Linked DNA regions of Lonchura striata. The protein of the gene in region 1 purifies or fractionates together with the protein of each later gene. This does not show direct contact. Links are inferred from orthologs where the notes say so. Each region holds a gene or a part of one and is shown in the gene's direction. Other genes may lie near its edges.

Region 1 (7,128 bases):
TTCCCGTTTTTTGCCCCTTTTTTCTCGATTTCCCTGTTTTTGCCCATTTTTCCCCTTTTTCCCCAATTTTCCCATTTTTGTCCCATTTCCCCCCTTTTTTCTCGATTTTCCTGTTGTTTGCCCCTTTTTTCCCAATTTCCCCATCTTCCCCCTTTTTTCCCTATTTTCCTGGGGTTTTTTTCCCAATTTTCATGTTTTTTTCCCCAATTTCCCCATTTTTTACCCCATTTTTCCCCTTTTTTCCTGGGTTTTTTTCCCAATTTTCCTGTTTTTTTACCCAATTTCCCCATTTTTTACCCCATTTTTCCCCTTTTTTTCCCGACTTTCCTGTGTTTTTTTCCCAATTTTCCCCTTTTTCTCCTGTTTTTCCCAATTTCCCCATTTTTTACCCCATTTTTCCCCTTTTTTCCTGGGGTTTTTTTCCCAATTTTCTCGTTTTTTCCCGTTTTTCCCGATTTCTCCGTTTTTCGCCCCGATTTGCCCAGAGTACTCCAAGGACTCCCTGGGCAGCGAGGAGGAGAGCGGCAAGGACTGGGACGAGCTGGAGGAGGAGGCGCGGAAAGGTGCGGCCCCAAAACCCCCGGAATTCACCCCAAAACCCAAAATCCCCAAATTCAACCCCAAAACCCCCGGAATTCACCCCAAAAACCCCTTAAATCACCCCAAAACCCCCGGAATTCACCCCAAAACCCAAAATCCCCGAATTCAACCCCGAAACCCCCAGAATTCACCCCAAAAACCCCTTAAATCACCCCAAAACCCAAAATCCCCGAATTCAACCCCGAAACCCCCAGAATTCACCCCAAAAACCCCTTAAATCACCCCAAAATCCAAAATCCCCGGAATTCATCCCAAAATCCAAAATCCCCAAATTCACCCCAAAACCCCCGGAATTCACCCCAAAAACCCCTTAAATCACCCCAAAACCCCCGGAATTCACCCCAAAATCCCAAATCCCCTCAACCCCTTTTTCCCAAAATCCCTGTTTTCTCCCCCAATTCCCCTTTGACCAAAATCCCCGTTTTTCACCCCAAACCCCCATTTCCCCCCAATCCCCCTTTTTCCCAAAACCGCCATTTTTCACCCCCAATTCCGCATTTACCCAAAATCCCCATTTTCCCCCCCAAACCCCCTTTACCCCCCAAAATCCCCTTTTGCCCAAAATCCCCATTTTTCACCCCAAACCCCCATTTTCCCCCCCAACCCCCTTTTTCCCAAAACGCCCATTTTCCACCCTAATTCCCCATTTTCCCCAATCCCCCTTTTTCCCAAAATCCCCATTTTTCACCCCAATTCCCCATTTACCCAAAATCCCCATTTTTCACCCCCAATTCCCCCTTTACCCAAAATCCCCATTTTCCCCCCCAATCCCCCTTTTTCCCCAAATCGCCGTTTTGCCCAAAATCGCCGTTTTTCACCCCAATCCCCACTTCCCCCCCAAACCCCCTTTTTCCCAAAACCCCCATTTTTCACCCCCAATTCCCCATTTACCCAAAATCCCCATTTTCCCCCCCAATCCCCCTTTACCCCCAATCCCCCTTTTTCCCCAAATCCCCGTTTTGCCCAAAATCCCCATTTTTCACCCCAAACCCCTATTTCCCCCCCAATCCCCCTTTTTCTCAAAACCCCCATTTTTCACCCCCAATTCCCCATTTACCCAAAATCCCCATTTCCCCCCCCAATCCCCCTTTCCCCCCCAACCCCCCTTTTTCCCAAATCCCCGTTTTGCCCAAAATCGCCGTTTTTCGCCCCAAACGGCGCCCAGCCGACCGCGAGAGCCAATACGAGGAGGAGGAGGAGCGGGGGCGGGGCCGGAAGCGCAAGGGCCCCCCCGGCCGGGGCCGGCCCCACCCCCCCAAGAAGAAGCGGAAGTGACGGGACCCAAAATCGCCGCTTTTCACCCCAAAACCGCCCGGGCCTTTTCGCCCCCGTCCCGCCCCTTTTTTCCCCGTTTTTCCCCGTTTTTTTTCACCTTTTTTCCCCTTTTTGTTGTTTTTTTTCCCATTTTCCCCCCCCCTCTGGAATTTTGGGGCGATTCCCGCGGATTTTGGGGCCCCGCCCGTTTTTGGGGGTTTTTTTTGGAATTTTTTTTAGTTTTGTTGTTTGGGTGAAAATTCGGGGATTTTGTTTTTTTTTTTTTTTCTCCCCGCGGGGTTTTTGGGGAGATTCCCCGAGATTTTCCCACCGGAAATCGGTGCCGAAAACCCCCGGATTTCCCCGATTTTCCCAAAATCCGTGTTTTTTCCCCCGGTTTCTGTATTTATGGGGGTCCCCCCATTTTGGGGGGATTTTCCCCCTTTTTGGGGTTTTTCCCCCCCGGGTTCGGGCCCCCTCCCCCCCCCGCGGCTCTTTTCCAAAAATTCAATAAAAATTTCGTTTTTTTAAGGTTTTCTAACCAAAACGGGAATTCCTGCGCGCCAGGGCGGAAACGGGGCGAAAACGGGGGAAATTGGGAAAAATGGGGCGAAAACGGGGGAAATGGGGAAAAATGGGGCAAAAACGGGGGAAATTGGGAAAAATGGTGGAAAAATTGAGAAAAATGGGGGGAATTGGAAAAAAAATTGGGGAAAAATGGGGGAAATTGGGGAAAAATGGAAAAAAAATTGGGAAAATGGGGCAAAAGGGGGAAAAATGGGGCAAAAATGGGGGAAATTGGGAAAAATGGTGGGGAAAATGAGAAAAATGGGGGGAAATGAGAAAAAAAAAGGGGAAAATTGGGCAAAAATGGGAATTGGGAAAAAATGGGGAGTAAATTGGGAAAAATGGGGAAAAAAGTGGGAAAAGGAGAAAAAGGGGGAAATTGGGAAAAATGGGGGAATTGGAAAAAATGTAAAATATCGCGGGGAATTGGGCAAAATGGAGGGAATTGAGGAGAAATGGGAAGAAATTGGGAAAATGGGAGAAAAAGGGGAAAAATGGGGCAAAACCGGGGGGAATTGGGAAAATGGGGAAAATAAGAAAAAAACTGGGGAAAATTGGGGGGAAATTGAGAAAAATTGGAAAAAATCGAGGGGAATTTGGCAAAATGGGGGGAATTGGGAAAAACGGGGAAAAAATGCGAAAAATGGGGAGAAAAGGGGGGAAAATGGGGCAAAATGGGGGAAATTGGGAAAAAATGGTGGGAAAATGGTGGGAAAGTGGGAGAATTGGGAAAAATAGGGGAAAATTGGGAAAACTGGGGGGAAATTGGGGGAAATGAGGGAGGAAATTCGGAAAGGAATTGGGGAAAATTGGAAAAATGGGGGAAAAGGGGGAAAGTGGGGGGGGAAATGGGGGAATTGGGCAAAATTGGGAAAAAATAGGGGGAAATTGGGAAAAATTGGGGAAATTGGGGAAAACTGGGAAAAAAATGGAGGGGAAATGTGAAAAATGGGGGAAATTGAGAAAATCTGGGGAAAATTGGGCAGAAGTGGGAAAGAATGGGGGGAAGATGGAAAAAATGAGGACAAAATTGGAAAACTTGAGAAAAATGGGGAGAAAGGTGTCGGGATTGGGAAAAACCAGTTTAAAATGGGCCCAGACCGGTTTAAATGACCCCAAACCGGTTAAAATCACCCCAAACTAGTTTTAATTTCCCTAAACCAGTTTAAATCACCCCAAACCAGTTTAAAAGGCCCCAAAACCAGCGCGAACTGGGCCGCGCCCCCTCCGCCTGACTGACAGCGCCGCTGTCCAATCACCAACCTCCCACGTCTCGCTTCGCCCAATCAGAGCCCGCACCGAGCCCTTCGCCCCGCCCTCCCGCTGATCCAACGGCGGCCGGCTGCGCATGCGCCCACCTCCCCGCGCGCCTCGGGGGGCGGGCCCTCCGCTGTGCGCCGGACTCCGATTGGTATAGCGGAATAACTGGCAGCGCGCTCGGCCAATCAGCGCGATCGAAACCACCCCCCGAGCCCCCCGCCGTCTCTCCTCCCCCTTCCCGCGCAGCGCCGCTCCGCGCGCTGCCATTGGCTCGGCGCTGGATTGACAGCCGTCTCAGCCAATCGCCGCGCGGCAACGGGCGGCGTGGGCGGGCCCGGCGGCGCTGGCGGCGCTGAGGGCGGCGCGGGCGCCATTTTGCGCTCGGCCCCCGGAGGAAGCGGCGGCGGCGGCGGCGGCAGCGCAGCGGTGCCCGGAGCGGTGAGGGGGCAGCGGGGGCGGCTCCGGGAGGGTCCCGGGGGGCTGCGGGAGGCTCCGCGGGCGGGAGGACCCGCCCGGGGGCGCGGGGGAGGTTTGGGGGGTGCAAATGGCGGCGGCGCGTGAGGGAGCGAGGCGGGAAATGGGGGGGGGGGGGGGGCTCAGGGCCGGGGGGGCGGGGCCTGGGGGCGGGGCCGCGCCCTCCTGAACTAATTGCTCAGCGTAATTAACTAATGACTCGGCTGGGGGGGTAATTAACCCCTTCAGGGCCGGGATTGACCCCGCCGGGGGCGGGGTTTGGCTCCCCAGTTAATTAACGAGCGCGCTCCGGGTTTAATTAACCCCTGCGGGGGCGGGGTTGGCTCCCCGAGGTAATTAATTAATTAATTAGGGCGCTCCGTGTTTAATTAAGCCCTGCGGGGGCGGGGTTCGGCTCCCCGAGGTAATTAATAAATTAATCAGCCCCTGCGGGGGCGGGGCTGACCCCGCGGGGGTGGGGGCGTGGCTTAGCCCTGATTAACACCCTCGGCTTAATTAATTAATTAATTAATTAACCCCTTGCGCGCCAGGCTGGGCCTAATTCACTCCCCTTGGAGGCCTTCGTTTGCATAATTAACCCAGGGGGCGTGGCTAATCGTTAAGGGGCTAATTAATGCTAATTAAGGGTTAATAAAGCAGCGAGGGGCGGGGCTACATTTGGGGGCGGGGCCAATTCCGAGGTGGGCGTGGCCAAGCCTGGCTTTGGGAGCTTTCATTAAACCCCCCAGAAGTTTTAATTAAACCCCCCCAAATCCTTTAATTAAACCCCCCCAGAAGCTTTAATTAATCCCCTCCAAGGTTTAATTAACGGCGGGGGGCAGGAATTCCCAGATTTCCCTTTTCCCCCCAATTTTGGGAGCTCAGGTTCCGTTTTTCCCTTTTCCCCCCAATTTCAGGAGCTCAGGTTCCATTTTTCCCTTTTCCCCCCAATTTCGGGAGCTCAGGTTCCGTTTTTCCCTTTTCCCCCCAATTTCGGGAGCTCAGGTTCCGTTTTTCCCTTTTCCCCCCAATTTCAGGAGCTCAGGTTCCGTTTTTCCCTTTTCCCCCCAATTTCGGGAGCTCAGGTTCCGTTTTTCCCTTTCCACCCCAATTTTGGGAGCTCAGGTTCCGTTTTTCCCTTTTCCCCCCAATTTTGGGAGCTCAGGTTCCGTTTTTCCCTTTTCCCCCCAATTTCAGGAGCTCAGGTTCCATTTTTCCCTTTTCCCCCCAATTTCGGGAGCTCAGGTTCCGTTTTTCCCTTTTCCCCCCAATTTTGGGAGCTCAGGTTCCGTTTTTCCCTTTTCCCCCCAATTTTGGGAGCTCAGGTTCCGTTTTTCCCTTTTCCCCCCAATTTTGGGAGCTCAGGTTCCGTTTTTCCCTTTTCCCCCCAATTTTGGGACCTTTTCAGGTTCAGTTTTTGCCTCTTCCCCACCTGCGAAGTCCCGGGCGGTGTTTGGGGATTTTTCAGGGTTTTTGGTGATTTTTAGTGGTTTTTGGAAATTTCTGGGGTGGTTCCAGGTGGGTTTTGGGTGGTTCCAGATGGTTTTTGGGTTTATTTTTGAGTTTCTGATCATTTCCAGGATTTTTGGGGGTTTTTAGGGGTTTTTGGTTGGTTTCAGGTGGTTTTTAGGGGTTTTTGATCAGTTCCTGGTGGTTTTGGGGGTTTTTAGGGGTTTCTGATCATTTCCAGGTGGCTTTTGGGGTTTTTAGGGGGTTTTGATCAGTTCCTGGTGGTTTTGGAGGTTTTTAGGAGTTTTTGATCAGTTCCAGGTACATTTTGGAGGTTTTTGATCAGGTCCAGGAGTGTTTTTGGGGCTAAATCCCAAATTCCCGCGTTCTCTCCTGGCTCCAGGAGCTCCCATCTCATTTCCTCCATTTTCTCCCCCAAAATCTCGATTTTCAGGGGATTTCCCCCAGATTTTGGGGCCAGCCCCCAAATTCCCCCATTCCCCCTCAAATTTCCCTCCCCCTTCCCCCCTCCTGCCTTAATTAAAGCTCCAAAGTCCCAAATTTCCCCTTTTGGCCCCAAATCTGGGGCTTTGGGAGGGCGGAGGGGAATTCGGGGAGTTAAACCCGAATTTTGCCAAAAACCCCAAAATTCGGGGGCAAAATCCCCAAATTTGGGGGAAAACCTACAAATTCAGGGAGAAACCCCCCAAATTTGGGGACAAAACCCCTACATTTTCTGTTTCTGCCTAAATTCAGGGGCAAAATCCCCAAATTTGGGGGAAAACCCACAAATTCAGGGAGAAACAAACCAAATTTGGGGACAAATCCCCCAAATTTGGGGACAAAACCCCTACATTTTCTGTTTCTGCCTAAATTCAGGGGCAAAATCCCGAAATTTGGGGTCAAACCCCTCAAGTTCCCCATTTTCCCCAAATTCAGGGGAAAACTCTCCGAATTCTCCATTTCTCCCCAAATTCAGGGACAAATTTCCCACTTTTGGGGACAAATCCCCCAAATTCAGGAACAAACCCCCCAAATTCTCAGTTTCTCCCCAAATTCAGGGACAAACCCCTAAAATTGGGGAGAAACCCTTCGGATTCAGAGTTTCTCTCTTAAATTCAGGGAAAAACCCCCAAATTCTCCATTTCTCCCCAAATTCGGGGACAAACCCCCCAAAATCTCCATTTCTCTCCAAATTTGGGGACAAACCCCCAAAATTCAGGGACAAACCCCCCAAATTCTCCATTTCTCCCCAAATTCGGGGACAAACCCCCCAAATTCTCCATTTCTCCCCAAATTCGGGGAAAAACCCCCCAAATTCTCCATTTCTCCCCAAATTCAGGGACAAACCCCCCAAATTCTCCATTTCTCCCCAAATCTGGGGACAAACCCCTCAAAATTTCCATTTCTCTCCAAATTTGGGAATAAACCCTCAAAATTCGGGGACAAACCCCCCAAATTCTCCATTTCTCCCCAAATTCAGGGACAAACCCCGAAAATTCGGGGACAAACCCCCCAAATTCTCCATTTCTCCCCAAATTTGGG
Region 2 (8,032 bases), on another chromosome or scaffold:
AAGTTGTCCTCCCAGGTGTGTCAATCACTTCTCCTTTCCCCACCCTGACCCTCTGCCAAGCACTGTCTGTCACTCCTGGAATTCCAGAAGGGCATAGAGTGATTGAGCAGGTTCAAAAGATGCTCTCCACCCCTAGGAAGGCATTGGGCCATCCTTTGTCCTTTGTCCCGTGAGACGTCCTCTCCTGTACCTGGTTGGTGGCTCCCTATCCCTTCCCCCGTCCGCTCCCCCAGGTAAAAGAGAGGGGAACCACACGGTCTGGGAGTGGTGGAGCTGCGACTGGATTCAGAGGCCTGCAGGCCAGAATAAAAGCTCTGGATTAAAACCCTCCATCAGAACCGACTCCTTTCCTTCACCATAGCCTTACAGGCTTCTCTGGCAGAGGGAAACCTGAGGAGCAGACCCTCTGCAAGGAAGCTACATCCACAGCCATCTGAGCTCTGGCTTGTCTGGACTTGCGTCCATGCTCCCAGCTGCAACATCCAGCTAGCTAAAGGTGTCTCTGGGGTGAAACACCACAGTGGCTGCCATTTGGTTCAGCAGCAGGGCCAGACAAGCCAGGGCACATCCCATTCTCAATATTGGTAACACCAATAACTCCTCTATCCCATGTCTTCATGGCACAGTAACCTGAAAGCCTCACTCACTTGGGCATACAACAGTCAGGAGGAACTGTGAGACAGCAAACACTATATTTGACTAATGCATGAACACTGACGCCCAGAGAGATCATGCAAGGTTGAAGGTTTTGCCAAGGTAAAATTCCATCCCTCTTTTTTTTTCTTTTGTATCTACATATGACTGTAACTAACACAACTCCTCTTGAAATTCAGCCAAGCATAACAGACACTTATAAAGCTAGGACTGAATCATCACTGCAGCTCAGCATGGAATTTGATTTTCGCAGGTTTCACTAACTCCTTTGATCTAGTTGCTTATGAAAAAATAGTAGGACTCCCTGCAAATAAAACTGTGTGGAAAAGAGCTACAGCTTAAGCAGAAGCTTTCCTTCCTTGCAGAGAAGCCAGAACTTAAGAGTGGCTGGCAGCCAAAGCCTACCAGATGCCATATAGCACACCAGCCACTGCTGCCTTCATCATGAGACGACACCAATCAGTATGTATACTCCAGCCAAACACTAAGTGAAGTAGCAAGAAACCTCTTGACAGTCCCTGTGTGTTTTCTCTGGAAGATACCCAATCCATGGAACTGACAGTGCACCTATATGGGCACCAAAACCTGCATAAACCTAAACCAGTAGTACTGCTTCCCGTCAAAGCAGGGTGAAGAGGACAGTGTGCAAACACTTTGCTGGGCTAAGTGTATGTCATGATGCCTGCTCAGTCTGCAGTAAATGCTTGTTGCAGAATGATGGGGCTTAGGCACACTCCCTCACTCACCTGTATTCAGGGGCTTTGAAGCTGCACCCATAGCTGCCAAAGCTTGTAGCAGTGACTATCACTGTCCATGGAAACTCCCAATTCTTGTAAAAACCAGCAAAGATTTTCAGTACGGTTAAGATCCACCAACTTAGGTAAGTGGTGGGGGAGCAGAACTGCTACAGCAGAAGTAATACTGTCAAAAAGGAAACTACTTATTTCTTGAAAATTAAATTACTTGCATTAATAATATCTACGTAAATTTTTTGTCATACCTTGAAATCCTCTTGACACAAAGTGTTTTTGAACAGAGGCTGGGAAAGCATAACTTTAATGTAAAGACTGGTAGCTACTTTGCTTCCACCAACTGTCCCATTAATCCCCTCTGAAGCAACTCGTACCTAGAAGGCAAGAGGAGAAGCTGGGGCTGAGCCTTAATTACAGCAAAAGAGATCATAGTGAAATTGGCAAATTATGAATATGGCAAAATATTTGCCTGTGACACAGGGCAGGCACAGGAGTATGTTCAGAAAAGAGACTACTGATTAAGGAAGGAAAATATGGTTAGTCTGAAGTTGAACATAAAGACAATAACCAGGAAAAAAAACCCTCAACAATCCAGTAACCATTTCTCAGCCATTTTAAAAGAATCACACCAGGACAGTCAGAGAAGTCCACTCAATAAACAGAGAAATGCTGTATAAACACAGAAATTGCTGTCTGCAAATCCTGCAGTCGGCATTAGAATTCCCACTGGAAGTTACCTCAGAAAGAACAATAGGTTTGTGCTGCATGACTCACACAGCTAAAAAAGAAAATGTGAATATGCATAACATTGTATCAAATATTAATTTTTGGGATGAGTCATTTTATCCCCAGCACTGACAAATGAACAAAAGCTCTGAAGTGGGGGTTGGGGGGAAGGGCGAAAGACTGAATATAAGAAGCAAGGAGAAAAACAGCTGATTGGGCTCTACCTGTCTTGGAGATGAGATGGAAAAAAAAAAAGAAAAGAAACTTGAGCAAAACACCAACTACCAGAGAAGACAGCTGAGCAGAAAAAGGAGTGAATGTATGACAACACTTCACCCCCAGGCCTGTGTTGATGTATCACTGGCAGAGAGCAAGAAGCTAATTAGGAAGACAAGTCTCAGATAAAAGGATTTTCCTGCTCCACGTTGCTCTCCTTCTCCTCACAGATAGCCTAGGAACATCAACTTTCTGAGACTAAAATTCACCTTTGCACACAGCATCCAGAGGTCAGGTACACAAGCAACTGATGTCATTAGTCTAACCTGCCAGGAATGAAAATAACAGACTGTGCAGAAAAGAAAAATGCTACATTATGGTGTAGTCTAAGGTGTTGGCTGTTCTCACCTTCCCAACAGTATGGCTTACAGCTTGCTGTAGCCACTCTGCATGGAAGCCCACTGTGCACTGAGGAAGGAGGATACAGGTGCCCAGTGAGTGGAGCAGGCCCAGACCCACGCTATCCCTCCAGCTTGGCCCTCAGGCTGCGTTGTGCTGCATGTGTCCTTCAGCCACAGCATACACCCAGCCTGCTAATGCTAACTGAGATGCCTGAAAGCAGCTCTCTGCTGACACCAATGATTAAGTCACTTTCATCTCCCTGCCTTTATAGAAAAATGCATCACGACTTTCTCATGTGAATATCCTTTCTGGTTGACAGCAGGAGTGATAAAAAGACTGTTTCCATGTGTAAAACTGATGGAAACAGGGTAATCCTTGCAAGGCCAGGGTCTGCACAGTGTGCTGCCTGTAAGGCTCACTCAGTGCCACACAACCCAGGGCTCCCTACATCAAAAGGGATTTAAGGGGATTTAAGATTATCTGTATTTTTTTTTCTTTGTTGTGATAGCTCTTAAACAGAATTCTAAAAGATACCTTACCAAGTCTGAGTGTCTGTCTTAATGGGATCATAACAGACTAACACTTTCTGATGCAAAACACATGTGGTTCTCCATATAACCCATCATCCTGCACTACGTAAAGATATGGGGCTTTTTCCTTTAAGAATAGAACCATTGCTGCAAACCTTACCTTGCCAGTGAGATGTAGATGCTGACACAAAGCCTTCTGCCAAGCACAGAGTTTCTCTGGATCCCTCACCTCACAGTAACAGTAATAGAGAAGTACGTCTCCCACCTGGCTGCCCACAGCATGGTAAAGGTAAGCAAAAAGAAAAATAATGTTAAGAAAGAACAAAATTGTACTATTAGCAGTAACCATTCAAAAAGCAGACAATTTTCTTTTGGCAGATCTGTAGAGAAAAAAATCCCCTGAAACAAACTTTGTAGGGATTAGACCTACTGGGTTTGGTTTATTACAAACAGAATGAATGTTAACCAAAAAAAAAGCTCCCAGACTTCTAATCCTCGGGACTAGTTACAAAGTGAACTTTGTACTCTCACTTCCAGGGCCTACCATATGCTCTCCCCACACACAGAACACAAGAATTGCTGGCTTTTATCCATACATGCAAGCCATTTGGCTCACTTTACCAAAATGGCACTTGAAAACTCAAGCACTTGAGCTGTCTAAATTTAAAAAGCCTAAGTTTTTTGTGAGATTGCACATTCCCACATTCTGTGCAGCACAAGCTGAACTCTGTCACAGTCAGAAGCGTTTCTATGAACCTTCTTCATAACTAACTTCAGGAACTTGAACGAACAGCAGAAAGGAACCCGTGCAAAGCATATCCTGCTGTTCTGCCCTTCTCTGTTGTGGTCCTTCCTTACAGATCCAAGCTGTCAAGCAACACCCATACAGACCTGCTTTAACAGTACAGAAGAATAGTTCAATCCACCGTTAAAAACTGCAAGGGATCTAGCTCTTTATATAAAGGATACACAAAGAATGTGAAGATCTAGAAGAATATTGGGGAATACTCTCTTCCTATACCTTAGAAGCGTGGCTTAAGAAGTACTTCTCATAAGAAGTACACTGGCAGATGATCATGTAAAGCCGAATATCCCAGTGCTGGAGCTTCAGGGAGGCGAGGAGCTTCCTTACCTGGTCAGATCGTCGTGGCTGACGTGGCTGGTGTCCGGGAGCGCCCAGGAGATCTCCGGGCCGCCGCAGGAGCGCCCGCTCGGCCGGGCCGCGCCGCCCGCGGCGTCGGCGGGCGGCGCGCCCAGCCCCGCCTGCCGCCCCACGTCCCCGGAGTGGTGCAGCGCCACGTGCCTGTGGATGCCGGGCAGCTCCTCGAACGCCTGCCGGCAGCACCGCCACCGCACGCCCTCTCCTCCGCCGGGACACCGCGACGCGGCCGGCACCTCCTTGGCTTTGACGAACAGGGAAAAGGCCTGGAACGCACCGCAAGCGTCCTCGTTACCGAGGTTACAGCGCGGCCCAGGCCCGGCCCCGGCCCCGACCCACCTTCCTGCGGGCGGCCGCGCACTGCTTCCTGCCCGCCGCCGCCCCCTCGGCGCTGCCCCGCGGCGCCGCCTCGCCCAGCACCATCTCCCCCTCTCCGCCGGGAAGCGCCCGCTCTCCGCCTCCTCCCGCCGGCTCCGTCCCCGACCCGGAACGGCTCGGGTTCCTCAGGGAAGTGGGCGGGCCGGGCCGCGCGCGCCCCGGAAGCGGCGCGGCCGCGGGCGGGGAGGCAGCGCGCTTGCTCGGCCCGCGCGGCGCCTCGGCCCAGCGCTTCCCGCAGCTCCGCGGCGCTCCGCACTGCTCGGCGCTGCTCCTCCCGCTGCTCCCCCCCGCTGCTCCGGACCATGTCGCGGCGGCGGCACAGCGACGACAGCGATGGTGAGCCCCGCGCCCCCCTCGCGGTGTCCCGGCGGGAGGGTGGGTCGGGCGGGATGGAGGAGCGGCGGGGTTGAGAGCGGCAGGGTTTCTGCGGCGGCGGTAACGCTCTGCTTGGTGTGTTGTGGAGCAGGACAGCCCCACAAGAGGCGGAGGACGTCCGAGCCGTCGGAAATTGAGGAGAGGCTCGAGTCGCTCATCTGCAGGGTGGGAGAGAAGGTAGGTGGGCCGGCGGCTCGGGGAACTCAAGCCTCGTTTCCCTTCTCCCTGTCCCTTGCATGGTGTGGGTGCGCTTCGTCTGTAGTAGCGACCCTCAAAAAATGCTTATTTTGTGAGGTGGGTGGAAAGTTGCCGGTTTTTTTTGCTAAGCCACGTGCTGCGGCGGGTAAGTGCTTAAATCGTAGCGTGGTGCTTCCCAGTCGGGGATACACGGCCCGAGTTACTGTTGTACCTAGAGATGGTGCTGGTGATTCTGGCGTGCGAAGGGTGCGAAAGAATTAATTGCTCTTCCTGCGGCACAAGTTTCCAGTCCCGACGGTGGGGCTGATGGAGGAGGGGGTGGCAGAACAATAGGTGATGATGCGCAGAGAAACTAGGTGTTTTTCAGCTTCGTGTTGTGTTGTTAATCAATGCTCGGCTGGTCGGGATGCTCCTGAGGTGATGTTCGATCTTGCATCCCGGGGGAAAGCTGAAGTTCCTAGCGAGGGAGTTTGGCGGTCAGGTGCAACTCTTGTTAGGCAAGCGAGAACAGATCTTCGCTTTTGATGGAACCCGAGTATTGCCCCGAAAAATGAGGCGACACGAAAGGATGCTCATGTCTTACATGTGGGAGTTGGACTAGTTCGTTTTGCCTGGTTGATGAAACTTTCTTCTGTTTGTTTGTTTTGTTTTCATTTTAGAGTAATTCATCTTTGGAGAGCAACCTGGAGGGCCTAGCTGGTGTTTTGGAAGCTGATCTGCCAAATTACAAAAGCAAGATACTAAGAATACTGTGTACTGTGTACGTATTGAGAAGGTCTGGGAATATGGGGTGTGCTTTCGGTGTGCCTAAGTTTGGTTTTAAGGTAGTTTAAAAGCCATGAATAGCTTTAGTTTGTGATTGGTGTCATAGCTTAGGGTTTGCCTTACTACAAACGAAAGACATAGAGGAACAAGTTCGCTATGTATTTGGTGTAATTCAAGAAAAATACCTTTTTACTTTGCTTTGACTTGAAATGTGTATAAAGGCTTGAAGCAGGTAGATGAAACATTAGAACTGGTCTGCAGTAGCTGTGGGAACGCAGCAATACCGGGTAAAATCCTTTTTCACGTGAAACGCTTAAGCGCTTAAGACCACCAGAGTGGCTGCTAACATCTATCTGTGTTATCTTGATGTTTTCTCACAGCTTTCTCTTCCCTGGCAGTCACGTGCTCAAGTCTTTGTAAGCACATTTGCTAGAGGGGAAGGACTGGGAACGGGAGGAGCAGAAACCAGGCTCTGGTGGCTGCCAGCTCTCTTTCCTCTCCCTGCAAAATGCAGGAGCAGAGATGCTATGACAGGGTCACTGAATGGTGTTGAGGGAGGGATTGTGCAGGGTCTGTTGCAAGAGGTAAGACAATTCCGAAGGAAGGGTGTGGTGCAGACTATGTAGCCTGTTCTAATATTTTGCAGATACTTAAAGTTTCTTTTTTAGCAATATTTTTAATAACAGGTAAGTAGTGTGCTTCCTTCCCTGGCAGCAGAAAGACACTGCTTACTTACCTGCTTAAAATGGTAGAGGTAAATTACTTTTTTACAGTAGGACCTAGTATTCCTTATGCTGTGTAATGACTTTACTATTGACTATGGACTTAAACAACTTCTTGCATTCTTGCAATAAATTCTGTCACTAATATTATTTGTCCAACCCTGTGGGATACTCAGCAATTAGATATAAATGAAAAGCAAATATTTTGTACTAGAAAGTGATAGTAGCTGTCTTTTCTGATTTTCTGATTTCCTCATGAGCCAAGTTTTAACTTACAATACGCGGATTCTAAGATGCCATGCAGTGGCCAACTGGCACATGATGAATAAACAACTAACACATTATTTCTTTTTCTGTGTCAGTGCACGTCTGCTACCAGAAAAGCTTACTGTTTACACGACATTGGTGGGCTTGCTGAATGCCAGGAACTACAATTTTGGTGGGGAATTTGTAGAAGCCATGATTCGTCAGCTTAAAGAATGTCTGAAAGTAAACATGTATAATGAAGCTGTGCATTTAGTAAGTGGAGTTTTATTTGTCTATTTTTTTCATATCCTTATTCTTTCCTCTTTTCACCTTTTTGTTACAGAGAGCTGGACCTTGCAATGTGTGTTTTAATGTCTTTTGCCATCAATGTGCAGTGCACTTTAAATATTCCAAGAGGAAATATGTGTTAGCAGTATTTTCTTTTTCAAGGACGAGGACTTGTATTACATTTACAAAATGTAGTTCCAATGGTATCTTTTTCACAGTGAAAAATTAAATGTGTGTTAAACAGAGGTGCTTTTCACTGCTTGTTCTTCAGTCAAATGTAAAAGATAAAAAAAAAAAGTGCTTCCTGTCTTTGAAACCATTTGCTTCATCCTTACTGCTTATAGATTTTGTCTGCTGTAAGCTATTAGAACTTCAGCAGTGTCTGATTTAGAAGCCCACTGCCAAGTTCCTCACCTTCTGAATCCCACTGGTGAAAATTAAGATTCTAGTCAAGAGACTGAACTTCAGTCAACCGTGATATTATCTTTGCTAATAAGATCTATTGCTAGAACTTGCTGTTATTTTTGTTATCTGATACTGTACAGAATAGAGAGAAGTACCGTGGTTTTCTTCTGTAGTATCAGTCTGCATGTTTTCCACCATTCCTTAATTAGGAATGTT

The links. Proteins that work in one complex are often made in the same cells at the same time.
Region 2: the proteins of heterogeneous nuclear ribonucleoprotein C (region 1) and NCBP1 purify together in Homo sapiens (co-immunoprecipitation; 3 studies listed by BioGRID and IntAct, with this or other methods). This does not show direct contact. The link is inferred for Lonchura striata from reciprocal best matches to the Homo sapiens genes HNRNPC and NCBP1.

Annotation. Positions count from the first base shown.
Region 1 is NC_134641.1:1,164,066-1,171,193, reverse strand, and holds the start of heterogeneous nuclear ribonucleoprotein C, read left to right. Parts: upstream 1-4,044; 5' UTR 4,045-4,119; intron 4,120-7,128. Other genes in the region: SUPT16H (FACT complex subunit SPT16), read left to right, coding at 486-563, 1,766-1,875. UniProt on the Homo sapiens protein: Binds pre-mRNA and nucleates the assembly of 40S hnRNP particles. Interacts with poly-U tracts in the 3'-UTR or 5'-UTR of mRNA and modulates the stability and the level of translation of bound mRNA molecules. Single HNRNPC tetramers bind 230-240 nucleotides.
Region 2 is NC_134642.1:47,796,383-47,804,414, forward strand, and holds the start of NCBP1 (nuclear cap-binding protein subunit 1), read left to right. Parts: upstream 1-4,993; 5' UTR 4,994-5,119; coding exon 5,120-5,153; intron 5,154-5,283; coding exon 5,284-5,369; intron 5,370-6,049; coding exon 6,050-6,150; intron 6,151-7,239; coding exon 7,240-7,396; intron 7,397-8,032. Other genes in the region: TSTD2 (thiosulfate sulfurtransferase/rhodanese-like domain-containing protein 2), read right to left, coding at 1,655-1,780, 3,441-3,549, 4,413-4,705, 4,779-4,862. UniProt on the Homo sapiens protein: Component of the cap-binding complex (CBC), which binds cotranscriptionally to the 5'-cap of pre-mRNAs and is involved in various processes such as pre-mRNA splicing, translation regulation, nonsense-mediated mRNA decay, RNA-mediated gene silencing (RNAi) by microRNAs (miRNAs) and mRNA export.